Notamacropus eugenii: one gene and its partners. The protein of the gene in region 3 interacts with the protein of the main gene of each other region in a pairwise test. Links are inferred from orthologs where the notes say so. Each region holds a gene or a part of one and is shown on either strand. Other genes may lie near its edges.

Region 1 (7,117 bases), on a different chromosome or scaffold from region 3:
GGACATAAAAAGTTTGCTTACAACCTCCAAGAAGTTAGCAATGCAAAAGTGGAGAAAGTCATGCTTCAATCCATAAAAAGGGATTCTTAAGCACCCTACGGGAACAACAGACTCATGCCAAGCAAAATGAAACATAACAGAGATCTCCAAGAAAACATAAGATCAAAACACTCTGGCAAACAACTTATTGAAAGTAACCCTATTTTGCCAAAGAAATCAAAGCTTCGTTGATGGGTTTTTTTTAAAGAGATAAAAAGAAAAAAAGCATGAAGACAAGGAAAAAGCAAGGAATATAACTTAATTAATAAAAGATACACAGAATAGAGACCATTTTTTAAGTCACCAAGGTACAGTGGATAGAATGCTGGACAGGCAGAATCAGGAAGATCTGAGTTCAAATCCCATTTCAAACATTTATTAGGTGCATGACCTAGTAGGATAATTCACATAACTTCCCTGGGCTCTTTTCTTCATCTGTGAAATGAGAAAGCTTGGCCTATTCTATGGTACCACAGTTTAAGGAGTTGTCTTTTGTAAATTTTGGAGTAATTTATTTGTTGGGTTGCATCATTCTGATTTTTGAAGTATGGAGAGACTGTAGCATTTACCTGTTTGTATTTATTTGGTGGGGGAGGAGATAGAAAGTGATTATATAGGAATGTGGGAGGAAGGACCAAAAGTCATTGCATCCAGTCACTTCCTGATTGGCTGAGAGAGATCCAACTTATATAATAGGCAAAAGAGTTTGACCCAGCACACCCAAGTGAGGAATCTCAAAATCAGACTGGTAGCATTCTAGTAGCCAAGACAATATTCTTTGATGCAGTCATGACAGAGTCAGCCATGGCAGCATGAGTTTACCAAGCTAGAAGAGGGTCAGCACCCACCTGGCCAGGAGAAGTTTATTTAAGTCATAGGTTAAAAAGTTTAGGTGGTACTAAGTCTGAAATTAGCTTATTTCTAATTACCTTGTCCTGAATTATTTATGAATTTCTATGTTCTCTTTTCCCTGGTAAACGAATTCTTTAAAAAAAAAAAAGCTTTCATGATCTGAAGCATGTGGAAACAGGATAAAAAGAGAAAAAGAAGCTGATGTAAAACAGGACACCTGCTTCTTTGTAGCAACACCTTAATAATGACAAATTAGGAGCAGTTGCAGCAGAGCTACAGACCCAAATGGCCAACCTTTGGTTCAGTGACCCAGGAAAGTACATAAAAAAGGCACAATGCCTTTAGTGGGGGGGTTCAGAATGTGGTGAAAAGTGAAGGCTCCAAAGTTCAATAAAAAGTCTGGATTAGTTAAGCCTAAAACTCAAGGCTGGATCCCTGAACACCATGATCAGAGACAGAATACTGGACTGGATGTCCTATCCCAAATCTGACCCAGCAGGACAAGTCTTATGTCAAGCACTATTATACTGTACATGGCATACATAGCTACTAAGAACTCAATTCAGTAGACATCTCTTGCAACAGCCTGCTTATCAAATCACTCCATCTTAGTCTAAATTTACTTTTGTATCTAAGTACAGTATTTAGAAAAGCTTTATGCTACTGCAGCTTATTTACAGTTGTCACTAACTATCCTCTAGCAGCCAACAAGCCCATCAAATACTCTTTTAAACCTTCTTGTTAAAACAAAAATATTCTAAGGTTTTATTTATTTTTCAAAGTTCTCTAATTTGACTTCAATTTTTCCCCAGAGTTAAAGTCAGAAATTAGAATGGAAGAAAGCTAATTAGATTCACTCTAACTGAAGTAGCTGAGATTGACTGATTGATGAACTTCAATCAGCTGAGAAAGGTATCGGGAGGACACAGTTTTTGGTCCCAGCTCCACTTTCAGGTTCAAATTCAATTCAATAAACGTTTATTAAGTGTCAGGCAGGGTGCTAACCCCCGAGGACGCAAAAAGAGGGAAAAGAGAGTCCCTGCCCTCAAGGCGCTTACAGTCTAAAGGGCAGACAAAATGCAAACCAAGATATACAAAGCAAGCTATCTACAGGATAAATACCAAAGGACACAGGGAAGGCTTCCCGTCTGTGGTCTGATTTTAGCTGGGACTTAAAGGCATAAATAGAATACGTCCAAGTGCTTGGAAGAATCGCCGAACTGTAAGACAGTATCACCATTCAATTATATACTTGGGAAAAAGAGTAAGGCACCTGCAGCTCAGTACAGTGGGCAGAGCGCCGGCTCTGGATTCAAAGGGCTGGGGCCAAATCCTACCTGGGATACTACCTGTGTGTTCTAGGGCAAATCATTAAACCTTGGTTTTCTCATCTGTAAGATGAGGGGGGTTGGACTAGACAGCTCGAGGTCCCTTCCAGCTCTAGGAAAAAAAACCAAGGCTGCGATGCCAACGGTTCCTCCGCGACACTCGAGAAGCGACCTGAAAACACCTGGGGACACTGAATGGAGCCCAAGGCCTGCCCCCAGGGAAGGGAGGGCACGTCGCGACCTCCGCACCCCCACCCTGTCGGTACGGCTGGGCCAGCCCCGGTGCCCGCCGTGCCACGTCCGGGATGGTCCCCGGTGCCCGCCGTGCCACGTCCCGGATGGTCCCCGGTGCCCGCCGTGCCACGTCCCGGATGGTCCCCGGCGCGCGGCCCTCTCGCAGCGCCTCCGCCGTCTCCCCTGCCCCGGGCCCTCCATCTCCCGAGAGGGGTGCGGAGGTCCTGGTGGGCGCGGCCACTCCCGCACGGGAGCGCGGGGCCGACGGACTGACAGCGCCGGGCTGGCCCGGGCGCGGCCCCTGCAGGTAGGCTGGCTGGGCCGGCAGCCCCCGGGGAGCCGGGCCCGGCCCCGCCCCGCCCCAAGTCCCGAGGCCGCGGGCCGGCGGAGAGGCCCGAACCAGCCGCCCAGCCCGGGCCCTTCCGGTCCTTTCGGCGCGTCAGTCTCACCTGGACGGTGTCAAACGGACATTTTCGCGGACCAGACTGGACCGGACCGGACTCCGTCCTCGGCGCCTCGATTCCGCCTCCTTTCTAGCCTTCTCCAGCGAGCTCGCTCTCGCTCTCGCCTCCTCCCCCGTGCCGCGTCACGCGCACCGACCTCCGCGCGCGATACTTCTGGCGGGCGGGGCCGTCACAAGCCGCTCTGTGACGCAGCGCGGAGAGGGGTGTGGGTTCGGAGCGTCCGGGCTCCCGGGCCCGAAGGGAAGGGAGAAGGATGGCGTCACGGGGAGGGGAGGGGAGGGGAGGGGAAGAAGAAGGTGAGGGCGGCTATTCGGGACAGCTCGGGCCAGCCACGCAGGAGTGGGAGAGCGTGGCGGAGTTCCTGCGCAAGCGCAGAGGCTGCCGCACGGAGCTGAGCGCAGGGCCCCGCCCGCTTCCTCCACCACGGTCCGCGGCCGGTCGTCCCGGGGCTCCTCCTGGGGAAGAGTTGGCCTCCCCTGCGTGGGCACGGAGGCCGAGCTCGATCGGGTCGGAGTCCCACCCTCCCTCCTGGTCACCTGCTGTGTAGCCGGGCCTCAGTCTCCTCTAATGTAAAATAATGTAAAAAGATTTTTTTTAACCTTAAACCGTCTTTACGCTCTTAAAAGTGACTGAGGATATCCCCCCAAAAAGAGCTTTTGTCTATGTGAGTTATTTATTAATATTTGCTGTATTCGAAATTAAAACGTCTTTGTATTATCATGAAAATACCTTCCTCCTAGCGGACAGCCTGAAAAGATCTCTGGAACCCTCTGGACCACACTAGGAGAACCACTCGGGCCCGATGGACCCTATGGTCCCTTCCAGCTAGCTCAAAGGCGGGGAGCACGCGCTTGAGGCCCTAGAGGGCCACGTGTGGCCTCGAGGCGGCGGGTTCCCTAGCCCGGCCTTTATCACAGAAGCCTGACAGTGCATCCCTCGCCTCATGCTGGTTCTTTTACAATTCTTGTCAGTTTCAAAGCTGCCCTTGAAGCTAATTTTAGAAAATCTGGAGAGGAAGGATACAAATGTATCCGTGCAACGGAAGAATGGGAGAAATGGATACAAGGGACCTTTCAAAGGAAGACAGCGGCGGCGTGTGGTTACCGTTTGGATAGGAGGCATTTAACGAAAAGAGAAGAAAGTGGGAGAGAAGAAGGGATTTGGGATCAAAGGTGACTGGGGCCTCCATCAAACACAAAGTAAAATACTTTTAGACTGGCAGGTAAATTAAGGACATCAGAAACAATTAGGAACAGTTTTCTTTATAAGGGCCGGTATCTATGATATTCATGAAGTTTTTCAGGGGACTGCCTTCCTTGTAGACTTGACTGTGATTTGTAACATCCATCATCAGTCTCCTCAAAAATATCTAGCTTCTCCTGCCTTCCTAAGATAGGTCGTAACTTACCCAGAATAGTTGGAAATCTTGTCATTTCACTATGCAAAATATTAATTTTGAATATAGTAGGTGCTTAATAAATGGAATCAGTGAATTTGCTGTCACTTTTCAGTAGGACAGGAAAATAAAAAGAATTAAAGCAGAATTTGTTAAATGCCTACTTTGTTTCTGGCTCTAAGTTAGACAACATCGGGCTAAGTCCTTGACCCGAAAGAACTTATACACCTGGTAGGAAAGATAATAGTTAATATGAAATAGCAATAAGGAAATAATGCAAGGCAAAAAAAAGAAGAGAAGACATCAATATAGGCCATGGTGGTTAGGAAAAAAAAAATCATAGAGGAAGTGAAATGTGCGTTTTACCACCAGATAACTAGCAAGCTGAGCTGTCAGTTATCCACTGACCATCTGAATTAAATGCTCAAGTCTATGCTTCCCCAACCCTTCTTGTAAGGAGCTTTCCTAGCAACCACCTCTACCCCTCTCGGGGTCTGTCTTTCTCTTTTAAAAACAGTAAGTTTTTAGGGCAAAAGGGAAAAAATTACATCCCTTCACTGGTCTTCTTTGGGTCTCAATTTGGGTCTCAATTTCCTCATCTAAAAGAGACTCAGGTAAAGATTCCTCAGCTAAAAGATTCTAATCCAACCTCCACATTTTACAGATGAGGAAACTTGGGTTTTGCTCTAATTTTAACCTTCTTTCCTCCGGACCACACCAAGGATAGTATAAGTAGTGGCAGGGGAAGCAGTAGATAAGAATGAGTTTGATATGGACAATGGGACCAGGTTGACTGGATAGAATTCAAAATGAGGTATAATAAGAGGTAAAATTTAAAAAGGGTACAGCAAGATTATGAGGACTTTTGAATGACAGGAAGAGGAAGGAGTCCAATGATGACTCCAAGGTTTTAAATATGGGTGACACAACAGTGACTTGTTGACAAGAAATCAGGAAGCTGAGTGGAATAACTTGTCTGGGTGGAAGATGACAAGTTTAATTTAGGTCATAGAATTTACAGCTGTAATGAACCTTAAGGTCTGAGAGTCCAGCCCCGTAATTCTATGGAAGAAAAAACTGAGACTTTGAGAGACATGACTTTACCAAGGCCACACAGCTAATAAGTGGCAAAGCCAGTTAATAGAGAATATTGAATAGTAGAGAGAGCAGAACATCTATTAGACAACTATTGTTTACAGGATTGTAAGTGAAAGATAAATACTAGAAAAAGAAATTCAGAAGCCATCCACTTGGAAGTGGCATGCGGAAGTTACACATGAACTACTGAAGATGAGCACCCATCATTCACAAGGTCATGAAAATTTGGCCACCTCCAGATTGTGATGGGTGAAATCTGAAGTCACAGAGGAAACAAAAGTTCAAGGTTTCAAGCATCAATTTATTAAGCAATATATGCCTATGGCATAACAAATTGGAACCAGGCCTCCTCAGCTTGGCACTAGACCCTTAATACAGGAGGAGACATCCTTATGTATTGAAAACAATTAACAAGATACAAACCCAGATACAAATTAGATAATCTGATTTCTAATGGAGAGAGGTTAAGGACTTTCTGAGTTGGGAGAGGTAGAGTGAACAGGTGCAATTCCCTGAAGTCAGAAGGAAAAAAGAAGTGTTTCACTTTCCCCCTGCTCCTCAAATGTCTATATTCAATCAAAGGAACAAGAAAACCAGTATAGGCCAATTTTCAGTTAAGACATATGGGTTCCTTGAGATGTAGAATTGTAAGAAAACTCCTTGATCTTGGTTCTGACTGGGTTTCTGGTCAGCATAATCTAGGTCCTTAGTTAAAGTTCTCTAAGCAACAAGTAGAGGTAGTCTAACTTCCTAACTATGCAAGGCTAGTTTTAAGCAAATGTAATAATGTTTTCTCACCATTCCTATAATTGAATAACATTTTCTCGCAGGACAGAAATTGGACTAGATCCATAATTGAATAGAAAGGGAACTGAACTAGATCCAGAATTGAGTCACAAGATGGAATCAGTTTGGTTCACTCAATTCCCACGATTCTTCTCCTTTGATTCCTGGGAGAGGAGACTGGCACCCTCTCCTATAAATCACTTATCTATAAGTCAAATCTATAAGGTTTTCCATATATTCATAATCGGAATTATATAAGTCAGGTTATAGATCAGACTATCTAGAGGGTTCACAATGAACTCATTTTGAGAAGGGAGATTTATATCACCAACATAACTTCAGCAGACCTAAACACCATGAAACAAAAGGCCAAAATAATACAGTGATAATCATCAATATTAGATAACATTGTCTTCTTCTATTCTAGTAATCCACTGTTAATGTCCACTTAAGCATCACATATTGTCTTAAGTCTCAGTTTTCCCATGTGGTCATCTGGTCCCTGGAAATATCTTCTGGACATTCTGAAATAGGCCTCATTTTCAGAATAGCTCTGAAGAGGACTTCGCTTCTCTTTTTCTAAATCATTTGTAGAGATTCCTAGATAATTAAAGGCAGCAAGGTGGCTCAGAGCACTAGGCCTTGAGTCAAGAAGAACTGAGTTCAAATATGGCCTCAGACACTTACTAGATCCTTGGCAAGTTACTTAGCTTCTGTTTGCCTTAGTCCATTGGAGGAGGGAATGACAAACCACTCCAATATCTTTGCCAAGAAAACCCCATGGAGATATGGTTCACAGGATGACAAAGAGTCAGATGCAACTGAATGACCGAACAATAGACAAGACTGTAGCATACAAAATACATGACTACAGTAATGTGATTTAATATAATCTTTTAAATTTGGTTTTCCAATAACTA
Region 2 (7,655 bases), on a different chromosome or scaffold from region 3:
TGAATAGGCAGGTTTCAAACAAAGAAATCAAAGCCATCTATAAGCACACGAAGAAGTGTTCTAAATCAATTTTAATCAGAGAAATGCAAATTAAAATAACTGAGGTACTACCTCACACCTATCAGATTGGGTAATGTGACAAAAAAGGAAAATGATAAATGATGTGAGAAAATTGGGACACTAATGCACAACTGGTGGAGTTGTGAACTGATCCAACCATTTTGAAGAGCAATTTGGAACAATGCCCAAAAGGCTATAAAACTGAGCATACCCTTGGATTCAGCAATACCAAGCCTAGGTCTGTATCCCAAAGAGACCATAAAAAAGGGGAAAGGACCTACACGTGCAAAAATATCTCTATAGCAGCTCTTTTTTGTGGCGGCAAAATATTGGAAATTGAAGGCATGCCCATCAATCAATTGAGGAATAGCTGAACAAGCTGTGGTATATGAATGTCATGGAATACTTCTGGGCAATAAAAAACGACTAGACAGATTTCAGAAAAATCTGGAAAGACTTGTAGGAACTGAGGCAAAGTGAAATGAACAGAAACAGGAAAACATTGTACACGGTAGCCGCAACACCTTGCTATGAATGACTCAGCTCTTCTCAGCAACACAATGATCCAATACAAGTACAAAGGACTCACAGACTAAAATGCTATCCACATCCAGATAAATAACTAATGGATTCTGAATGCAGATCAAACCATATACTTTTTCACTTTATTCTTTTTGCTATTTTTTCTTTTGATCTGTTTCTTCTTTCACAACTATGACTAATAAAGAAATATGTTTTACCCTACAGCACATGTATAACCTCTATGAAATCACCTATCATTTTAGGAAAAGGGGAAAGGGAAGAGAGAAAAATTTGAAATTCTAAATCTTGTAAAAATGAATACTAAAAAGTCTTGATATGTAATTAGGGAAAAAATAGTATTTAAAAAACAAATAATTCTTGGATGAGCCAGTTATCCTCCAAGGGTTCAAATAAATGGAGCTGTTTAAAAGCTAACTATAGTTTGCTCAAATGTAAACTTTCCACTCAATAATGTCACCTCTCTACCAATTCTATTTTATTATCCCATTCCCTTTAATTACTTAAACACCTAACACAAAGATAAAGAACCTCAAAATACAAATAAAATGCCCCCCAAAAGCAAAGCTGAAGGTCCTTTAACATGGCTATACAGTAAAGAAGTTTGCCAGTTTTATGTCATTTAAAATGGACAAAAGTGAGTACCTGCCCTTGAAACCTCAAAGGCTTCTATTTCTTAAAAAAAAAAGAAAAGGTTCCAGAGTTCAAAGGCTTGGGGCATTTTTTTCCTTTGCATTCTAGAAACACTTTCTGAACACATCACCCCCACTCTCACAACTTTTCCTAGTCAACTTTCAAATACCTCCCAATAATTTCTCCAAAGGTCAAAAACGGAAAAAATAAGTCTCAAAAGTCTTGTTCCAATGAACAATATGGGGTATCTGATCTCTACTCTGTGGGTAGAAGGAAAGTGAACCACGAAAACTGCCAACAACTTTCTGCTCAGTTTTCCTACAAGAAATCCCATCCACACCGATTAACTGTTAACAACGGACATCTCCAGCGTGGTTTACTAGCAGAGATGGGGGCGCTAAGGCAACAAATAGAGCCAAAACAAAAACGCCACCCACCCCCCGTAAGAAGACACACTGGCAGCATTCCAGCCAAACCAGCTTTTCCCTCATTCCCACCCAGGAGGAGCCAACAGAATTCTTGGGCGGGGGAAGAGAAGCAGACCACTCGGGCTTCCTGGCGGAAGTGGAGACGACCCTGGAGAGACTAGACAGAGATGGCACGACCCCCCCTCCCATGTTCCTCACTTATGCCACCCCCTTCCAATACACAAGGTCAACTACGCTCCCTTCCCGGCCCAGCTCGGAGCCCAGTCCAAGTTTCTGGATGCCCACTCCGGGCCTGGGCCAGGCCGGGCTCGAGGCGGCGTCCCCCTCCCCCCGTACGAGGCCTGGGGCGCGGAGGGAGCCCCGCAGCGGGAGCCGAGGGCGGGGGGGCGGCGGCAGAAGGCTCCGGCCCGGCCGGGAAGCGGAGCGATACTCACATCCTTCAATTTCCTCCTGCAGGTCCTCCTGAAGCAGTGAAAGATCTGTGAGGGAGGTGGGGGAGGGGGCGGGAGAGAAGAAAGGGACAAGGTCAGCGCCCCCCGCGGGGAGGGGGCAGACCCCTCCCCTCCCAGTCCCACCCAACCCCCCCAACTGCTACTACCACTACCACCACCACCACCACCTCCCCCGGCCCCGCGCGCCTTCCCCCCAGGGCTCGCCTCAGCCCGGCCCCCTTTTCTCCCGCCCCGTCCCCTCTCCATTGGGACAGGACCCTTCTGGCCGCCTGGCTAATAGGGCGAGAGGCCGGCGGAGCCACCGTGGCCAGGGAGAGCAGGGGGGGGTCCACGTACCCGCCATCTTGCGGTCGCCCCCTCCTCCTCCGTCTCCCGGGGATCCGGGACTACATTGAAGCGGCGCGAGGCAGGGAACCGGTGGACGCGCGCGCACGGGCGGAGAGGCTGGGGGAGGAGGAGGAGGAGGAGGTTGGGGGAGGGGGAAGGGTGGCTAGGGGCCCGCGCGCGCGAGCCCGCGTGCGAGCTCCAGACGGGACGGGACGGGATGGGACGAGACGGGACGGGACGGGACGAGACGACGGGATGGGACGGGATAGCGCGAGGGCGGAGGGGGGTGGGGCGAGAGAAGCAGCGGGGCGGAAGCCTAGGCTTCGGTTCGAGTATCCGCTGCGGTCACGGGGGAACTCTGGTGACAACGCCCCAAAGGCTGGGAGACTGCGAGGACGCGCGCGAGAGGAAGGGGCGCCACTGGACGCTGCCGCGCGTTCACCCCGTCCTCGCCTCTCCTTCCTGCGCGCGCGCACGAAGAGAGGACTGTCTCCCTTTTCTGCCCCCCCTTCCTGTTCCCTCCCCTGCCCTCCCGGACGGACTCACTGAGCGCGCGACCCCGCTCTGTGCCCCCACCCCCTTCCCCCGGCGCGCGCCCGCGCGCGTGCTCGCACACACGCACGCCCGGAGTCGCGCCGGGGCTTAGCGCTAGCTCCAGGAAAGAGGCATACAGCCCGCCGGCCTGCACTAGTGCCCGGCGTGTGCTGCAGGCTGGGGCTTCAGGCGTGGCTCTCCGTCCGGCGCGGCTGCTCCAGCCCCCCCCCGCCCCCCCCCCCGCCCTCCTTTATTTGGTCACCAGCTGGGCCTCTCTCCCAGCCTTCCTCCCCCTGTAGCCCCTCTTGTTCTTGGGTATTCTCTCCGACCTTGCGTGTCACCGGGCCCAGGCAGGCCCTGCTCTGACGGGCCGGGACAGCGACCGGGAAGTCCGTGTGTCCAGGGAGAGCGGCGGAGGACCGGCAGCGCTGCGGCTGAACTCGGCGCCGTGCCCCCGCATCGCGCCCCCGGGCCTCCCCGGGGCAGAGGGGGAGCCAGGGCACCCCAAAGGGGGCGGTGGCCGGTGGGGGGGCCGGGGGCGGACCCAGTTATCACCTAGGTTTAGAGTGATCCATCCAGCAAATATTAATATTAATATCCAGCCTCCTAAAGGCCGAGCGGCCTGCCGAAGCACACCCCGATAAAAGCCGGGGGCTTGCCCGCGGGGAGCTTGGGGTTTACTGTATAGATGCACGCACGGGTAAATACGCCGTGGGTAGAAGGGTGCCTCCCGTGTTTTAGTGCGGCGTTAATCGCTTCCGACCGCACCGGCTCGGAACGCCGTCCGTTCATATAAGTGATAAGTTTGTGTTGTGTACCAGTATCCGGGGTGTTGGAAGTCGGGGCCGTGCGTGGACTGTCTATACACGAGGTGCTCCTTAGTGTAGGGTGCGTGCCTCTCCTTACCTCTTAGGATCTACTATAGGTATCAGGCGGATCTGCACAGAGATGCACAAATGCATTGTTCTTGGGGCAGCCTTAAGCTTTCACCTTCAGCTTATTCTTTGTAGTAATTAACTTTAAGCCTTTTTTTGGGTCTGACTGATCCGCTAACCCTCAGAAGTGGGGTGCCTGCCCTGGAGTACTCCAGACCCACTCCCTAGCGCTTTCGGTTCAGTTTAACAAGCATCCTGAAGTCAGGGACTGTGCTACCTGCTGCAGGTACAAAGACGGCACACACCTTCAGAGCTTACATGCAGGGTGAGGGGAGACAACCAGCGTAGAAGTAAGAATATTCACATTTTTCTGTTCTTGCCCCCTCCCCCAGCTCCATTTAGGTCCTTTGTTTGTAATTGTACTACAGTATGTTCTTTGTCATATGTTACAAATTGTAAAAGACAATTTTGCTGAAAATAAAGAACAGTAAACTTGGCATGTCCAATTTGTACTACCTTGTACTATTAGAAGTTGGGTTTTGGGGGAAAAGAATTAACTTAAATTGTTTATCAACTGAATTTCTTAAATTGTATTTTAACAGGTTTTACCAAGGTTTAATTCCTGCCGTCTAGGAGTCATTTGGGCAGTCAGGCTTCAGAAATTTGTAATTTTGTTTGTATATAAGTTATATTCTATACTCATGAAAAATTCCTTTCCTTGGACTTGTAACACCCTCACATAGGCTGTATATAGTTAGGCATATTTTTCTGAAAAGAATGACCTGGAATTAGCCATGATAGGAAAAAAGTTATGACTTTAGGTGTTAAGAAATGTGTGCTCAGTTCTTTAAAATATACAGTAGTATGTTTTTTAAGAAGGCCAAATTTTCTCAGCCCATTTCTTCACACTTACCAAATGTTCTGAGGTCTACTTCTGACAACACTGTCTCTCAGAATGACACGCAGAAACAAGAATTATGAAATCCATCAGGTTAGAGTAACAATTCATCTAGTTTGACAAACTGTCTTTCAGGGCAGAGGCTAGTACTAGTTACCTCAAAGGAAGTCATTTTTTGCCTTATATTAATTGATTTGATGCACCTGGCTAAATTATGCTTTTCACTGGGGGAGAAGATAAGAAGAAAAAGGACGAGGATGACTTGATGGAATTATTTAGAAAATTTAGGTATAGAATTTTAAGCAAATTTTTAATCCTAAGAATAAATATTTTCTGTTTTTATTTTATGAAAGAATTTCTGCCTGTAAATTCAGCTGTAATCTTCTTAGTACATATTCTCTAACAAGAGTTTTCTTGACCATTTTGTTGAGGGGATCCTTCATTTAAAGAGCAACAGAAGTATAAACTCATCTACCACATCTCTCCTTTCTAAACCATTGATGGATGCATGGTGGCTTATGAAGTACTCCAAATGAGGTTACTTTGTTGGGATTTTTAAAAAGAGGTATTTAGACAAGAATAGCAATCATTGTTTTCTTGCCCCTTCCCTCAGTTTCACTTACAATGTAGTCTGTGTGGTGTGAGAGAAGCTGTGTGTTGTCTAGTGTTCAGAGCACAGCACAGGGTCTAAATTCTTATTCTGCTGTGACATCTGTAAAATAGTTGATACAAGTTAAAATTTTTTTTTTTGTAAAAGTTCTAGCTAAAGACTAAATGACTGGTGACGCTAACATTTCTATGGAGAAAGACTATTCATCTTACAGAGAGCAATTATGTTAACCTCCTCAGAGTTTTATAATTGATGCATTTAGCTCATCAACAGGAACTTAATGTCATTGGGCAGATCATCCTGAATCAATGAGAAAAAAGAAACCTGACATACCTTGACGCTGACCCATTTATATAAACTCTTGTGCCGGGAAGTAAACCTTTTTTGGTCTCTGAAATGGTCGTTCCTGAAAGTATATAAAAAGGCAGACTTGTCAGTTGCTATTCTAAATTATAAATAATGATTTAATCTGTATAAATATCTATTCAGGAATAAGAGAAATCAATTTGACCAACTCCAAAAGTATTCCTTTCAACCAACTTACTATCATTAATTTATATCTTTTCATCAATCATTGTGAGTCTCCTTTCCAACTGCAGGGCAAAGATTTCTCCTTTTAATAGTCCCTTATTTAAATAAAGCCTTTTGTTAGTACTTTTTAGTGCTAAAAAAAATCTTTTTAGGTAAATAAATGTACATGTGGGATTTTTCTCTTTCTTTGTGGTTTCAAGTCCCTTTCAAAATTTCATACCATGATGACCTCCCAGAAAAAGAGAGATTATTCTTGGCCAGGATTTTAATGGTTCGGTTTAGTTTGTAATGAAGAGATATTGGTTCCTCTTCTCTCAAATCTCCTAAAATAGACATTTCATAGATCCTTCTCACTACAATAAAGGATTGAAAAAAAAAATTCCAGGTCTGAGATCCTTTGAGATTTTCTTCCCTTCAAACTGTTCTCTCTCCCTTGTGTATCAGTGTCATTGGAAAGCTGAGGCCTAAACTACATTGGAACTGACTCTGAAATCTGACTATATAAATTCAGATATGGCAAAAAAAATAAACCTTTTAACACATGCTTGATCTGGCCATAACTATAACAGTGTACACTATTAGTACAACTGCTGTTAATCTTGTGAGAAAATGAATCCTTTTTTTTCAATTCTTTATATCCTTCTCTGGACTGGAATTCCACAAGATATGGCACATTGCTCCCATTTTGCAGTTCTTCCATCTAAAACTGGGAGAATCTATTAAACTTGCCCCAGGAATAGGAAGAAAACTTTGGTCTTAATGAGCAAAACAGAAAGCTATGAAAACTGGAAATTACTTAAGTAGCATGCCATGGATAAAAAAATAAAATGATGTTGTTTTCTTTGTGCTTAGGCAAACCAACGAAAGTTTTAGTTTTTAGATATTATAGCATATTAGAACTAGGAGGAACTATTTGTTGTTTAGTTATTTCGGTCATATTTGACTCTGTGATTCCTTTTGGGATTTTCTTGGCAGAGATAATAAAATGGTTTGCCATTTCCTTCTCCAGCTCATTTTACAGATGAGGAAACTAAGGCCAACAGGGTTAAGTGACTTGCCCAAGGTGACACAGATATTAAGTATTTGAGGCCAGCTTCAAACTTGGGTCTTTCCCTCTCCATGTCCAGCACTCTATCCACTGTGCCACATAGCTGCCCTTAGGAGGGAGGAACTATAGATATCATTTAGTCGACTTTCCTCATTTTTACAGATGTAAATACTATCATACAAGTAAACAATGGCAGAACTAGGATTTTAAAAGCACAGTTTTCCTGACTTTCACCCATCTTTTTCATTCCATTACAGCTAGGAAGGAACAGAGAAAAGTCCCAAACTCTTTCACAATTTTTGGAATAATTAGGTTAAACAAAGTTTTACCTAAGCCAGGAAAACCTATGAATAGGTTTTCAACGTATTCAAAAGCAAAAAGCTCAGTAATTAAATTAGAACCAAGATTTGTGGTATTATGAACTTCTTGCTTAGCTCCTTAATGGGTTAGCTCATAATCACAATTATGTCAGCTTCCTAAGGTGTAAAAGTTATACCCCAAACTAACCAGAAATTCATTTATGGCCCTGGTGTCTAGGCCTGCCTATTTAGAGAGGTAGGCCTTTGTTTTGGCAAGCTGAATGAAGGTTGAATTAGTTAGGAGAGATTTGATTGATTAGCATCAGTGGAAACTTGAGCTAGGGTAGTGGCAGTATGTAATGGTAATTGAAATGGGAAGGTCTTTCCCATTCATTAATAGGCCCATCTGACCTGCTTAAG
Region 3 (7,798 bases):
AAATTCAACTAATAATCAACAAGCATTTATTAAGTGTCTACTACATGCTGGGCCCTGAGGACACAAAGAAAAAGTGAAAAACTTCCTGCCCTTAAGCAGCTTGTATCCTACAAGAAACATCTACTAAATGTTGGAGAAGATGGAACACTAATTCATTTTTGGTGAGGTTGCAAGCTAATCCAACCATTCTGGAGAGCAATTTGGAACCATGCTCAAAGGGCTACAAAAGTGTGCATACCCTTTGACCCAGCAATACTGCTTCTAGGACTGTATCCCAAAGAGATCATAGAAATGGGAAAGGGTCCCACATGTACAAAAATATTTATAGCAGCTCTCTTTGTGGTGGCTAAGAACTGGAAATTGAGGGAATGCCCATCAATGGGGGAAAGGCTGAACAAACTGTGATATGTGAATATAATGGAATACTACTGTGCTTTAAGAAATGATGAACAGGAAGACTTTAGAGAAGCCTGGAAGGACTTATATGAACTGATGTTGAGTGAAAGGAGCAGAACCAGATCATTGCACACAGTAACTGCTACAGTGTGCGAGGACTTTTTCTGGCAGACTTAGCCCTTCACAGCAATGCAATGACCTAAAATATTCCCAATGGACTCGAGGTAAAATGCCAACCATATCCAGAGAAAAAACTATGGAATTGGAACACAGAATGAAGCAGCATATTTTCTCCCATGTTATATTTTTTTTGTTTGGGTTTTTTTCATGGTTTCTCTCATTCATTTTAACTCTTAAATGCAACATGACTAATGTGATTAATAAGAATGTATGTGAAGAACCCATATAAGATTGCATGCCATCTTGGGGAGAGAGGGAGAGAAAAATCTAAGACTTATGGAAATGACTGTAAAAAACTGAAAACAAATGAATTAATAACAATAATAAAAAGAAACAACATCTACAAGGACATATCAGGTATGCAAAAGAAAGTGAAGACAAGGCCTCCTGGGAGTACGAGAGTCATTACTGATCATTTTACTTCTTTTGCTGCTTTAAGAGAGGTCCTTTTCTTTTTCTTGGTATCGCATATATTTGTCAAGGGTAAAATGCTGTAGAAGGAAAGAAGAATCAGCAATTTTCTAAGTCAGTGTTAATTTTATAGTTTTATAGGATAATTATGCGTTAAAGATTTTTTGGTCCAGTTAATGCCAGTGAAAAATACTCATTTTATGTGAAAGTCAAATGTACTTGAAGAAATTTTAAACACTACTAACTATTCACTATTAAAACCCTCTTCTGATGCTGGGTTGTAAGAGGTTATGTTATCTTCTAAAGGGTCATTCCCAGACTACTTCTTAAAGAGGCCTATTCACTCAATGGGCAGTACCTTCTTCTAAGTGAATACCTGAAAAGTCTGAGTTTCCCCACTGCATCCTGGGCCTTCTCTAGTCATCCTGATGAATATCTGGTCACTGGATCCAGATGGCCCAGGAGGGGAAGTGAGACTGGTGACCTTGCACAGCCCTCCCTCACTCAAAACAAAGTCCAGTGCAAGTCATGTCATCATTTCTCTGGTATCATGGTCTTCTTCGAAAATGAAGGATGAACACAACAACCAAGCAGGGAAGGCTCTGGGTACAGAGATGATAATACACTGTGTATTTTGTTAAGTGAGACCATTAAAGTTCAGAGGTGTTAATCACATGAAAGTTGGATATCAAATGAGGAACATTTTTTCAGACCCAGTGACTTACAAAGACAGTTATAGTATAGAAAAGCTGTGACTTACTTTGGTGAAAGGGGTGGAAGAATTCACACCTATAATGTGATGGATTCTGGATGTACTAATAAAGGTAGACAAACTTAGCTCAAATAAAAAATTAACACCAACAAAAGAAGTGTAAAGCAAATATATCAATAAATCATGGGTAGAAAATATCTGATTCACTGGCTCCAATCTGCTCTTGGGTTGACTTGAATTGGCCTAAGAAAAGTATTCTCAAATTCTGGGTACATATGTGAAAGTTTCTGAGATAGATACAGGTCTTTATCCTACACAATGGATATCCTTGCTTTATTTCAAGGGTTAAGCAAAAATGTTATTTCAAAGTGGGGTTTTTGAATGTTTTCTTTTAGGTCCTCAGTCCATTTTACCTTTTCTTTTTTGATCCTTAACTTAAGGTATATCTCTTTGTTATTTGTAGTTATTGAATAGTTTTATATTTTCCGTTCTTGATTTTTAAAAGTAGGTAACATGAACGTTGCATAGTTCCTTCAAAAATAGCTAAAGTTGTTTTTACCTGCATATGACCTGTGACTATTTCCCCTTACCATCCCCCCACCTCTTAACAGAAAAAATATTCTTCCACCTCTTTTCAATTATTTTCTTCTCTTTCAGTAGGTCCTTATGATATACATAGGATCTATCATAAGCCTTCATTAAAGTGAAAAATAATATAATTACAGTCTCTTAAAAAGTTGGAAGCAATTTTAGAAATTACTCAGTTTGGACCTGAAGTATGAATTACCCCAACATCTTTACCATCCTATAAAGAGTGCTATGGTAATTTGTTAAATTTTAACTCAGTAAAAAACAAACACAGGACTAAACTTAAAAGTCCAGGGACATCTACAAACGTGGAAGTTTAAGTCTTTTTTTCAGAAACTTGGTAGGTGTAGAGAAGAGAATAGAAATCTCTCAGAAAATCTTGGAAAGGTCTAGCATCAAAGTATGGAGGTTTACAAAGAGAATAACTGAATGACAGATGAAAGTAAAAGAAAGAAGAGAATATTATTTAGTTGTTCTAAGGTATGTTCTTAGCTCTTTTTAATTTTTTCCATTGATTTCAGTGGTTCTGACTCTTAATTATTCTTGACTTATCTCTATATAGTACATTGATAGAAGCACTAGACTGACATTCAGGAGATCTGTCACTAACTAGTTTTATGTTCTTAAGCAAATTACTTAACCTCTCTATGCCTTGGCTGATTTGCTTTGAAAGGATTGGAAGAAATAATTTTACATCCATCCCCTCCTCTCTATTTTTCATTGCTTCAGGTGGAGGGCCACAAAACTAGGAGGCCTAGATCAGCAGTGTGAAATTCAAACAGAAACAGACCTATTAAACTCTTAAGGATCCCTGTGGCTGTATATTGATTAGAAAACCACACATTAACATTATCTTTGTTCTACTGTATTTTTATTTAAGAACATTTCTTAATTAAATTTTAATTCAGGCCCACTAGGGAAGTATATTTGATAACTCTGGTCCAGATAAACTGCTCCCACTGTGAGTCATGTGCCCTTCCTCCTTTCTGCTTTTGCTGGGTTTGCTAATTAATTGTTACTTACAATGGTATACCCATTCCCTTATTCATAGCATGTTACCTACCAGTGGTATTGCAACGTCTTCATAGGGCAGCTTATCTTCTCTCCAAGCATCATCAATCAGATCCAGAATTCTTCCATCCCTCTGTACCTCACTGTCCATTCTTTTGTGATTTTGATTTTCTTAGACCTATGGCCTACAAGTTACAGTTCAGAAATTTGGTGATGAGTGAATTAAACACACACACACACAACTAGTTAATTTTCTGAATTAGTCCAAATGTACTTTAATTGTTTTGTGTCTGTGGACGTGGCCTGAGCTCAAAATAAACATAAATGGATGACAGCTGGCTGACAAGTTTTTGATTCTTTTTTAAAAAGAATTTTACTTCAATAAAGTAAAAGGATCCATTTTCAGTATTTATACCCAGATCAATGAAACCATGGATGTTTCAACTTTTTCTTAGCATTTATCTAAATTCTTGTATCCCACATTCTTTTCATTTTCTTCAAAGTGCTTGCTGCCCTCTTTTGTCATCTACTATTCCTCTTATCAGAATACATGTTATAAGTCATCACTGATTAATTTGTTCTTTTTAATTGTCACATACAGTGTAAGCTCCTTAAGTATAGATAAGGATCACTGATTTTCATCTTTGTATTCCTGACTGTGTGGCTGAGAACTTCCAGCAGAAAGCAGTGAAAAAATGTTTGAATTGTAATCTTATATGGCTATTGAATTCCTATCCTGAAACCTCAATTAGACCAGAAGCTCATTTAGAGCTGAGGCTGTGACTTAAAACAGTTTTATCACCCCTGAGGAAGCAGCACACAATAGGCAGATTTTGGCAGATTTTTACAAACTTTCAGAAATTTACAAACTCTGCTAACTTTTAGATTAGCAGAGGGCATGGCACATACTGCTTAATAAAAGCCCTGGGACTATGAATAGTTGTAAGTACTATACAAAATCAAGTAACAGAAGAGAGAGACACACACAGACACACAGACACACAGACACAGACATACAGACACACACACACAGACGTTCGTCTTACTGCAGTTTGGGACGAGCGAGGCCAGAAGAGAAAGGAGAGGGAGGGAACGACACTGCCCTCCAGTATCCTCCTTAGGGGACAGAAGGGTGGAAGAAAAGAGCCGAGACTCTCCTGGGGTGAGCACAAGGGGACAGGGGAGGTACAGCTGCAGAGCAGCAGCATACAATGTAACCAAACCAGCAGACCTGGAAAGAATGTGAAAGGGATGCGCATGCGCATGCTCCGAGTCTCGCGCTCGTTTCTCCGGCGATCATCGCGCAGGCGTGTTGGGGGAACCTCCGCTCCAGCGCTCTTCCGCCTTCAACCGCCGCGCCAATCTGCTCCTCCGCCAGCCAATTCGCCGGAGTCACGTGATTCGTAAAACCCTTCCCCTCCCACCGTTTAGGCCCAGCGAATGACAGTACTAGGCTGAGTCAACTCGATTACCTTAGGAAAGTGGGGAGGATGAGGTTGGTTCAATTCATTAAGGGGGGAAAAATTTTTTTTTAAAGTGGGGAGGGGGCGGAGGGAGGACGAGTGGGCGAGCGAGGAGGCGGTGCAGAAACGTCGGCGGCGGCGCGCGCGGCCGGGAAAGGTAACGGCGGGAGAACGAGAAAGGGGCGGGGGCGGACGCTGCCGCTGCTGCGGACGCCTGGCGGGGCTGGGTGCACGGCCTGCGTGGCCGCGGGGCTGAGGCCGCTGAACGGCGTCGACGCGCTGCTCCTTAGTCCGCAGGCGCGGGGTAGCGACTGCGCGCTTCTTCCCGGCGTGCTTTTCGCCTGGCTGCGCGCTGAGTGCGGCCCATGGCTCCGCAGGGCGCGTCGGCCAAGCCCGCCGTCAGGTGCCCGCTCGCCTTCCTCGGGTCCGAGGGCGAGTGCTGGCGGCTGGGGTTCGTTCGTTAGCCCGCCTCGGGCCATGCTTGAAGTGGGTTCCTCCACCTCCCCTCTAGAGGAGGCGGCGGTGATGGGGGCCACGTGTCCCCGGCGGGCGATTCAAAAGCAGTCCGAGTGCGCCTTGTGCTAGAGCGACTTAGGCCGAGATTATCCTCCTCCCCCTCCCTCTCCTCCCCCGCTGGCCCCCGAGAGGCCAATGGACCTAGGTCCGGGGTTCAGTTCAGTTCAGACGTTAAAGCACTTACTAAGTGAGGGCACCGTGCCAGGCGCTGGAGGTATTAAAAAAACCCATCAGCTGGGCAAGCCTCAGATTTCCCTAGCCCGCCGTTCTACAGGGTCATCAATTTGCTTCCACTTGGACCTGTCGCTGTGGGCAAGCCACTTCCCCGTGCAAAATGGAGGCATTCATCTCGGAGGATACCTAGATACTTTGTATCCCTTTGCTTGGCCTTGTCTCCCCTATTAGTTGTAAGATACGTGAAGACTGGCCCTGCCTAGCCTTTTTCTTGTATCCCCATTGCTTAGCCCAGTGACTTGGCACACAGTAGGTGCTTAATAAATGTTTGTTGAATTGACAAGTCATCTGATTTAATTGGTCTTCAGTTTCCTCATGTGTAAAATGAAGGGGGTGAGGGATGGGGATGCATTAGACCAGCTAGCCTCAGAAGTTCTTTCTCTCTCTATGAAATGATCCCATGACTCTAGAACCTCTAAGGTCCTTTCCAGCATGATTTGAGAAGTTTAGGGAAGGTACCCCCTCTGATTAATAAGGATGTATGTGGTGTCTAGGGAGGATGAATACTCCTGGTGTGAGGGCTGTCATCCAACTGTCACCTGTGGCTCCAAGAAGTTGTAGCATGTGCTGTGGTCACAACCCACTAAGCCAAGTTTAGAGTAACCCACTGCCCTGGAGCCCTTCATTAAGTTGCGGGGAGGGATGTCTACCTCACGCATGGATAGACTTCCCCAAGCAGATCAGAACATTTTGTTCCAAGAGCCATGCAAGGGCTGTGGAGTGCTTAGTGGTTGGTCAGACATCAAAGAAGCCAAGGTCATCCACTGCAGCCTTCCATCAATCTACTGATTTTTGTTTCTCCACTGAACTTCAATCGTTCTGGAAGAGAGAGTGAGGCTGACTAGCCCTCTTTGAAAAGGAAGGAGGAACAAAAACAGCATTTTGCAGTTGTGGTGCCTGAAGGGTCTATTAACCCTTTCTGTTCAGAATCCTGGGAGACCTCAGTTAAAGTGAGGATTTCTTCCTAAAGAGGATAGTACATCAAGCTACTTGACCTCTCTATAAATACTTTATTATGAGATTGTTGATCAGATCCTTTCCAAGATCCTTTTACCATGGGTATTTATCTAGACCAGGAGTGGTTTGAGGCCAGAGGTTTCCCACCTTCTGTCTAGACTAACCTCAGCCCTCCCTCACTCAAAACAAAGTCAAGTAAAAGTCATCATCATTTCTCTGATGGCATGGTCTTCTTCGGCAATAAAGGACAAACACACATCTCTTTTACAGAGGAACCTGAACCCTATGGCCCATTTCCCAGAATTTCTTTAGAAAAACCTAGTCATTTTTATAGCAACTTTTGTTTATTGCTTTTTAAAAAGATGACACCTCATCCCATGTTTTTCCTAGTTCTAGTGATGTTGTGAACATTTTCAGTTATATAAGGAATAGAGGTCCTTAACATGAAGGATTTCATGGTTAGATTTGGGAGAGTCCAGGAACTTGAATGGGAAATTTTTAAAAAAATTTTTACTAAGCAACCTATAATTGAAATTTAGGTTTTCTGTCAATTACACATGTAGGTAATAAACCACAGCATCATTAATAGTACTTGTGACTTTATCACTGGTAGAAATCACAAATATTTTTATGCCATGTTATAGTCATTGCAGATACTTTGGAATGTTATGTATGCCCACCACTACTTTGAAATTACTGTGGATTTCAAGGGCTTGTAGTCTTTCCTGTCTGTGGGCACTGGTGAGACATAGCTGGTGAACCATTGGAGTCTATAGTTTTCACCAGATTGCCAAAGGAATCTATGACACAAAAAAGTTTATTAACTCCTGCAGTAATTTTCAGTTGCCTGAAATAACTTTGAAGTTTAACCCCTTCCTCCTTCTCCCTTTCCCCCATTGACAATGGGAAAATTTAGTGAAAGTATTTTTTTTCTTTATTAAAAGTGGTCTGTTAGAGTAGAAATACCTGTATCTGTATAAGACCTTGCACACACTCATTTTAAATGTTAAATTACAGTACCAAATAATCAAAATTTATCCAAATTAGTGATGATGCTAAGTGCTCTACAGAATTTGGGTTTGTCTGAATGTTTGAGAAGGTACAATGGCATAGGTATTAAGTTGATACCAAATTGTTACATCTGCATGTATGAAAATTATAAGTAAATTAAGGCATTATGCTTTGTTAACTTGGATTATAGTGACCTCATCAGGTCAGTATTGTGCCTGAATTCAAAAGAATTGCTTTTTCATTAATCATTTCTTTTGTTTCTTTAACCTCCTTACATTTTGGTCATTTTACTGTTTGCCATAGAGGCAGTGTGGATAAA
Region 4 (7,718 bases), on a different chromosome or scaffold from region 3:
ACATTTTACTGGCTATAGTAAGATATGGAACACCATTACCTACAAAGAGCTAAAAATGTGACTTTCATAGAGAGCAATGAAAAAGTACATGGTGACTATGAAGAGGCTACAGCATATAACCAATAGGAAACTGAAACAGAACAGGAGTGAAGGAAGGTATAAAGGAATTGTACGATAGGAAAAGAAGATGGGTTGCTCACTTGTCAAGACTGAGATACGACAAGTGGACAGCCAAAGCATTCCATGGATACCTTAAAATGCTGGAAGTGAGAAAAGCCTGCAGAACATTGGATGGATCCCCTGTGGTGAACTTTTGGGAGAATATAGGTAAGCCTTACACATGGGTTGGGAAGGCATGGTTGAATCAAGATATGCATTACTGGAGGGAACTTTCAAATGGATGGGACCACTCATCCATTTGCATTTTTGAGCATGACACAGATGGATAAATTATAGACCTCATCCACTAGTGTCTCTATCTGTCTTCATGTGTGTAAATATATATATATATGAAATTGTGATTCTCCATTAAGTACGCTAAAACTTTTTCTAGAAAATTAGTACTGTTTTTTCAATATCAATATTCTGTCCTGGTCACATGGTGGCAAGGCATAGAATGCTATAATCTATGAACAATTAAAAATTAATATCATTCAAAAAACAATGGAGAGACACATGGGTTTATATGTATGTGTATGTATATATATGAATGCATATATGTGTGTGTCAGGTTGTAACACTCAGGACATAAAGAGCTACAAAGAAAAACGAGTAAAAGATGACAAAAATACATGATAGAAAGAAGAGATGTGCTAGTCATGTGGAAAGATTGAGAGATAGCTGTCACCTCATGTGCTTCACTGGTATTTTTATGACATGAGGAGAAAGTAAAGTTGTTTGTTTTGTTTTTTTAGCACAATGGCAGCACTCCCTCAATAGCAAGCTGCAGGGAGAACATGGTCAAGCATAAGATGGGCAGGCATAGATGATTTGTCAATTGCATCATTGGAAAGAACATCCACACTGATGTTACTGTGGTTGCATCTGAGTGAATAACAGGTAAGATCATTGATTCTATGACACTAATAGGTGCGTTAAATATTGTTTTAAAGAACTTACTTTACTATAAATAACAGGGAGAATTACCCACAATGCTCGTTTGGAAACAAGTTGGAATTCTCAATTTAAGTAGATTTTGGAAGCAAAGATATTTGTTGTTTTACATTCTATCCAAAAGCTAGAAACCTGAGAGCACAGTGGTTTAAAGGAAAAAAAACTCTGAATGTGCAGTCAGAAGTGACTCAAGTTCTATTCCTGACAGAAGACCTAAGTCTTGGCTTTCTGCCTTTGATATCTACTGTGTGACCATAGGAAAGTCATTTAACTTCTCTAGTCTCATTTCTGAACCTGCAAAAAGGGATTAATAATAACATAGAATAATTTTTATAATAATAATGATAATTATTAATAAGTACTGATCTTATAAAGTTGCTATGGGGATCAAATGATGTAAAAGAACCTTATAATTCATAAAGTTTTATATAAATATTGGCTCTTATTATTAATCATTGGGCAAAGATCAGTCCTGGTAAAACTTGGAGTCTATGATTGTCTTGTCCTGTGTCCTATCAAGTACTGCAGATTAACTTGCGTTGGCACCTGCTACATATACTTCATTAAATTGTAGTAACTTTAACCTAAGCCAGCATTTAGGCTCCTGTTGACATCAGTTCTATTAATACCTACTGATCCATTTATTTTTAACAATAAAATTGGTTACTCTCTTAAAAAAAGAGACCCCATTTTAGTCTCTTAGTGTTTTGTAATGATATTATGTTGAGTGGAATAATGTAAGTATAGGTGCTGTATGAAATAGATGCAGGATCTGTTACCCTTTCTCTCACCAGTGTATTCAATGCCAAGATCTTAACAAGAAACAGAAAAGTTCTTCAGTTTAGACAGGTCCCTCTCTTTTCTTCCCTCCAAGGCAGTTTAACAATGCAACCTGCCAGCATCAGCTCAATACTGACAAAAAAGTAAATTCTCCTTTTTTTACAGCATTTTTGTCTAGCCAGGCTTCTCTCAATCAATTTTATAAAGCACTTCTTCTTTTTCTTAATCACAGGCATTTTAATTTGATCCCTGTAGGGTACACACATCTGTCTATATATAGCTTCTGCCTCTCCCCAGCAGAAAGACACATGGCACCCTCTGTCCAGCCAGAAGTTATTTTAAGCTCTTCTAAAAGGAGGTTTGGTATTTAGTTAACACTTCATCTTTGAAAACCTTAGAAGGAGAACATTATTTTAAAAAATTAAATCCCCAATGGGAAGAATTAACAAGTTGAAATAAATACATTAAAAATGATTAGGTAACATACTCATATACATATCTGTATACTTAAAGAGGTCCTCTTTGGTTGAAATCAGACCCAAATTTACTCAGATTCTGTAAATAATAAATATAAATAGTAGCCTGTGAACACAGGATCTGGGTTTCGGCCAGTGGAACTTGTATATGAATTTGCCTTGTATTTTTCAGGTGTAAAGATTACTCTAATTCCATATAGTAAATCTATTGTAAGCCCTCTGGATTTTCACATTATATTTGCTTTTAAATAGGAATAACGAGTCACTGAGCACTCAGGGATCCTCATTTCCTAAAAAGTAGCCTGACGATATCAGAAAGAAGGCTAGTTTAGGAAAATTTCTGTGTTTCTTTTTAATTGTCCTTTTCTGAGCAAATACTGATCTTCTAATTAATTGCTGGTGGTCAAAATAGGGAGTATTACAAAACTTTCTCTTGTATAAACTTTATTATCTTGACTTTTTTTCATTCTTAAGACTGAAAATTTTTTACTACCAATTTTGGCAGAAGATTAAAGGACCCCCATACCTTACTGAGGAGCATTATTATTATGCACAAATAAAACCATGGAAAGGCTTCAGCAGTTCACTGTCAATCTCCAAGTTGAGCTGTTTGGGCGATGCACACCTCCCCTCCACCCACAACCCCAACCTCACAACTTTTAAGGTTACTTCAAAAAGTGTTTGTTGAACTTACCAGTAGGCGAGGAACAAAGCAAAGAGAGGAAGAGAGAGCCAGAGGAAGGAGGTAGTTAAAAAACAAAACAAAATTTAAAAACCCCAAGCGAACCAGCAGCAGGGCACAGCAGGAACCAGAGCCAGACACTCACCCCTGTTCCTGAGAGAGAGTGAGAGAGAGAGAGAGAGAGAGAGAGAGAGAGAGAGAGAGAGAGAGAGAGAGAGAGAGAGAGGTGGAAACACACATACACACAGAGTGAGAGATGAGAAAGGGGGGTGGGGGTGGACCAAGGCACTGAAGCTTGGATGATATATATAGCGAGGGATAAGTAATATGCAAAATTTAAATGTGATACCTGGGGTGGGGGGTGTTCAGAGATAATTGGCAACTTCTAGCACTTAACAGTTTCTTCCACTTTGTTATTTTTTTCTAAGAAAAATGGAGACAACTGGAGAGGCCCTTTCCCCCACTGCATTGAAGGCTAGAAATACTGACAGCTAGAGTACCTTTATTTTGGGTCAGTTAATTTTTTCACCTTGGAGGGTTTCTCATTCTGGCATTCAGCATTTCTCCGGTATGGTTTGTAATTTCTCTTCCTTGTCCCTCTCATGCTAGTTTAATTAATTAGTGTTTTGTTCCTGGGTATGTGGTATCAGATTGCTTATGGAGAAAATGGGTGAGGAGGAGAGGGAGAGATATATGACTTTAACAATGTAAGAAATGAAACACTTTCTTTATGATGGGATGATATTTACTTGTACGTCTTGAAACAACCAAAACAAAGCAAACAAACAAAAAAAAACCCACCATGAAATACCAAAGTTTCTTGTCCTGGTTTGTAATTTTATCTATTATGTGCCCTTCATGATGGGCTAACCTGGGGGTAGGGAACCTATGGCCTTGAGGCCACAGGTAGCCTTCTAGGTCCTCCAGTGCAGCCTTTTGACTGAATTCAAGTTTTACAGAACAAATTTATTTATTAAGGGAATTTGTTCTGTGAAGTTTGTATTCAGTCAAAGGGCCCCACTTAAGGATTTAGAAGGCCTCATGTGGCCCTGAGGTCACAGGTTCTCCACCCCTGGTAACCTCTTTTCCTTATTATTGGTACTCTATATGCCCTGAGAGAAAATTCCTATAGTAGTGCTGATTGAAGGTATTGCTAATATTATGACAGTATGGTAAGGAGTCACAGAATTCCATCTTTGCAGCTTTCCTTCACAATTCTGCAATAGCATATAAAAAAAGATGCCAATTTCTAATGGATCATTGTTACAGTACAGTGCTGAATGACATAGGAATGTAGTGTCCTAAGCATGGAAACATTTTTATTAGACTTGGAATAGATTTTCTATTGTGAGACTTTTAGGGATTGCTTACATACTGAATAATTAATATAGCCTGTGGAAAGGAACAATGTATGGGAAAAAAACTGCTAGATTTTTTTGGAATTGGAAGACCTGGATTTATGCTCCAGCTCTAACCTAGAACTTGTTCTGACTTTAGACAGCTTTTAGGAGTCTCAGTTTCCTCCAATGTAAAATGAGGTCAATAATACTTAACCTAACTGAGTTGTTATGAGGAAAATGCTATACAATCTTGAAGTGCTATACAATCCTGAGTAATTGTTATTTCTCCGAATTATATCATCTGCAAAAATGTGCATGCATTTACTTAAATGATCTCTAACGTTAAAATGTTCAATAATTGCTAGTAGCTAGTCTTGGATTGCATATCTCTCTAAGCCATTCTCCACACCATTGCATAATTGATATTCCTAACATGTACATCCAACCATGTCATTTCCTTGCTCAAGGAACTTTGGTGACTCCGTATGTCTCTAGGATAAAATACAAATCCCTTTCTTTGGCAGTTAAAGTTCTTTCTCAGTCTGATTTCAACCTGTCTTTTGTGACTGTTTCTTATCACTTCTCCTCATGTACTGTACATCCAACCAAACCAATGCCATACATGACAGTCTTATCTCCCATTTCTGTGTCTTTGCAAAACTCTCCCCATGCCCGAAATGGGTTCCCTTCTCACCTTTATTTCGTAGAATCCCTTAGCTGGTGTTCAGTCACTTCAGTCATTTATGACTCTCTATGACCCCATTTGGGGTTTTCTTGACCATGATGCTGGAGTGGTTTGCCACTTCCTTCTTCAGCTCATTTTTACAGGTGAGGAAACTGAGATAAACAGGACCCAGGCTCACCCAACTGCTTAATGTCTGAGTGTGTATTTGAACTCAGGTCTTTCTGACTCAAAGACCAGCACTCCATCCTCTGCACTATCTAGTTGCCTCCAGAATCCCTAGCTTCCTTCAAAGCAGAGATTGAATACTACCTAGTATAGTAGGGCTTTCTTAATCTCCCTAGTTATTAGTGTTCTCCCCTCACCAGCATTATTTTGCATTTAATCTGTATTTTTTCTATATACTTATTGGCATTCACACTGCTTTCCCCTAGTGGAACTCAAGTTCCTTAAAGAGATATTTTTTGTCTTTTTATCCTCAACAACTAGTACAGTATCTAGCACATAGTAGGTGCTTAATACATGATTGCTGAATGGATACCCTCATTTAGTTTTCATCACATTTAACACTGGATATTGCACATATAAGTTTCTCATGGAAAATATGTGAACACACTGTTACAGTAGAAAGAGCCTAAAATAAGATCATAGGACTCTGGTAAAAAAAATGACTTTTGATACCATCCAACCAACCTACCACTTTCCAGAGGATGGGGGGACTTGCCCAAAGTCACTCAGGTAGTAAATGAGAGGGGATTTGAACCCATGTAGTCTGACTCCAAATTCAATCATTTTTCCACTATTTCACACTAACTACTCTTCCTAAGGCTTTCCCTTTCTCTTTTCTCTTTCTCCTTTGGTGACAACTGGCCATCTTTACTGAGTTTAAGGAAAAGTGAAGTATACTAGTATAGATGCAGTTCATGGATTTCCATAGAACATATTTCTGAAAGTCTGAAATTACTTTCCCAATCTTTGTTATTGCTATTGTTAAATTAATTAGCAATCCAGATAAGGGTAGGAGATTGTTAAAATGTGATCGCCTTTGTGATGTTATAATCTTGCAAGTGTATCAGCCCAACTGATAAATGTTCTTATTTTTCTGATGCTTTTAAACAGATAAAGTTTACTTCCAAATAAAGTTTGCTTGATGGCCTAGAAACTCTGAGTAATCAACCCTAAATACTTAATCATTTTTGGGGGGAGCACCACACCTCTTGGGGGGCTTTTCTGTGTTTGTTTTCTTTTGAAGTTGACTTGACTGTCATAGTGAGGAATGTAACTCAGAAGACCTTGGTGTGCCATATGTGGGAAGGGACACCTGGAGATTTTCTTTTTCTGGATTTCTAGTAGAATGTTCTTTGAATTTCAGGGATCCCTGGAGAAAAATGGGAGTACCTTGCATTGTTGCAGGGGCCCAAAAGAATTAGACTACATTATGAGTGTAGACCTACAGAATAGGGGGAGGGAAGTTTAGTTTAATAGGGAAAGAGCCAAGTGCCACAACCTCTCCCTTAGCTAGTTTGTAGGCAACAAGCCAAAATAATTTGGTTTCTCACCTGAAGTTGAGACGTTGACTATCACTTGACCTCAATCCCTTTAGGATTATCTGAGAAGCTCTCTAAGGAACAAATTTCCTTCAGAGATAGAAAGCTAATTTTCTGACTGAAAAGGGTGACTGGTGAAAATCCTCCCATAGAGAAGCTGCAAGTCTGCTTATGGAAAGGTATGACAACTTGTAATAAAAAGGCTTTGCTCAATGATTTGGAGCATGCCCAGACATTCTGCAACTGGTTCAGGCCTGCTTACCCTGTGGCAAAGAGGAGCCTTTCTGATTGACTGTGAATTGGAAGTGAGTATTCAACAGGCTCTATTAGATGACCACAGTGAGGTTTCATCCTCATTCCTGCCTGGCTGTGAATCAGTGAGGAGTCAAAAACAGTTGAAAGTTATCGGTGGAGACAGAGAGGTCTCAGGCCTTTATTTCCCCACTGGGCCACAGTAATATACTTTGCTCTTGCTTTTTTGTTGTTGTTGTAGTTTGGTTGACTTCTGTAACTGATCTCTACTACTGTAGGTGAAGGAGTAATGGAAACAGCTCTGACACTGTGAACTTCAAAAGGTCAGAATGATGTGTCCTCAGAAGTCTGAGAGCTTGAGTCTGTGCTAGACCAAAAGCAAGGTTCCCAAGGAACAACCTTGAGGACTCAATCTAGCAGCATCAAGTTTAGCAGTAGGTGAGACAAGGATTCATTCAGTAACTATTCTGAATTTTGAAGTAAACTAGGGGATGAGGTTGGGGAATGAATTCCTTATGGCAAACCTTAAGTCTGAGACCACTATCTCCATGGACTAGACTAGGGTGGCACGGGGAGAGTGTATGCTTAGTTTTGGGGGAATGGTTTATATCTCTATTCATATGTCTTCTCATATCTCTTTGAAAAAACTAATTGACATTAGTTGGCTAAATGCATATAAGGTGCCAATCATTGGTGATTGATACTTGAAGCACACAGCAGAACTGGGTCTCAGGCTGATACTGTTAAAGACAGAATTTTCCAATCCCTCAAGGGTATCTCTGGAACCCAGAGTGGGGGAATATAGTCATGAGGCTTGCTCTAGAGATCTGATTCATCAGTGAAAAT

The links.
Region 1: the proteins of CEP63 (region 3) and NDEL1 interact in a two-hybrid assay, tested with the Homo sapiens proteins (2 studies listed by BioGRID and IntAct). The link is inferred for Notamacropus eugenii from reciprocal best matches to the Homo sapiens genes CEP63 and NDEL1.
Region 2: the proteins of CEP63 (region 3) and PPP4R1 interact in a two-hybrid assay, tested with the Homo sapiens proteins (2 studies listed by BioGRID and IntAct). The link is inferred for Notamacropus eugenii from reciprocal best matches to the Homo sapiens genes CEP63 and PPP4R1.
Region 4: the proteins of CEP63 (region 3) and TXLNB interact in binary tests that used the Homo sapiens proteins (3 or more experiments, as listed by UniProt). The two-hybrid records come from large-scale screens. The link is inferred for Notamacropus eugenii from reciprocal best matches to the Homo sapiens genes CEP63 and TXLNB.

Annotation. Positions count from the first base shown.
Region 1 is NC_092873.1:77,336,594-77,343,710, forward strand, and holds the start of NDEL1 (nuclear distribution protein nudE-like 1), read right to left. Parts: upstream 3,017-7,117; 5' UTR 2,903-3,016; intron 1-2,902. UniProt on the Homo sapiens protein: Required for organization of the cellular microtubule array and microtubule anchoring at the centrosome. May regulate microtubule organization at least in part by targeting the microtubule severing protein KATNA1 to the centrosome.
Region 2 is NC_092875.1:233,538,295-233,545,949, reverse strand, and holds the start of PPP4R1 (serine/threonine-protein phosphatase 4 regulatory subunit 1), read right to left. Parts: upstream 3,173-7,655; 5' UTR 2,987-3,172; intron 2,973-2,986; exon of another isoform or gene 2,558-2,972; 5' UTR 2,457-2,557; coding exon 2,450-2,456; intron 2,141-2,449; coding exon 2,096-2,140; intron 1-2,095. UniProt on the Homo sapiens protein: Regulatory subunit of serine/threonine-protein phosphatase 4. May play a role in regulation of cell division in renal glomeruli. The PPP4C-PPP4R1 PP4 complex may play a role in dephosphorylation and regulation of HDAC3.
Region 3 is NC_092876.1:333,964,320-333,972,117, reverse strand, and holds the start of CEP63 (centrosomal protein of 63 kDa), read left to right. Parts: upstream 1-4,708; 5' UTR 4,709-4,788; coding exon 4,789-4,793; exon of another isoform or gene 4,794-4,918; intron 4,919-7,798. Other genes in the region: ANAPC13 (anaphase-promoting complex subunit 13), read right to left, coding at 3,351-3,449. UniProt on the Homo sapiens protein: Required for normal spindle assembly.
Region 4 is NC_092873.1:225,871,627-225,879,344, forward strand, and holds the start of TXLNB (beta-taxilin), read right to left. Parts: upstream 3,154-7,718; 5' UTR 3,064-3,153; intron 1-3,063. UniProt on the Homo sapiens protein: Promotes motor nerve regeneration. May be involved in intracellular vesicle traffic.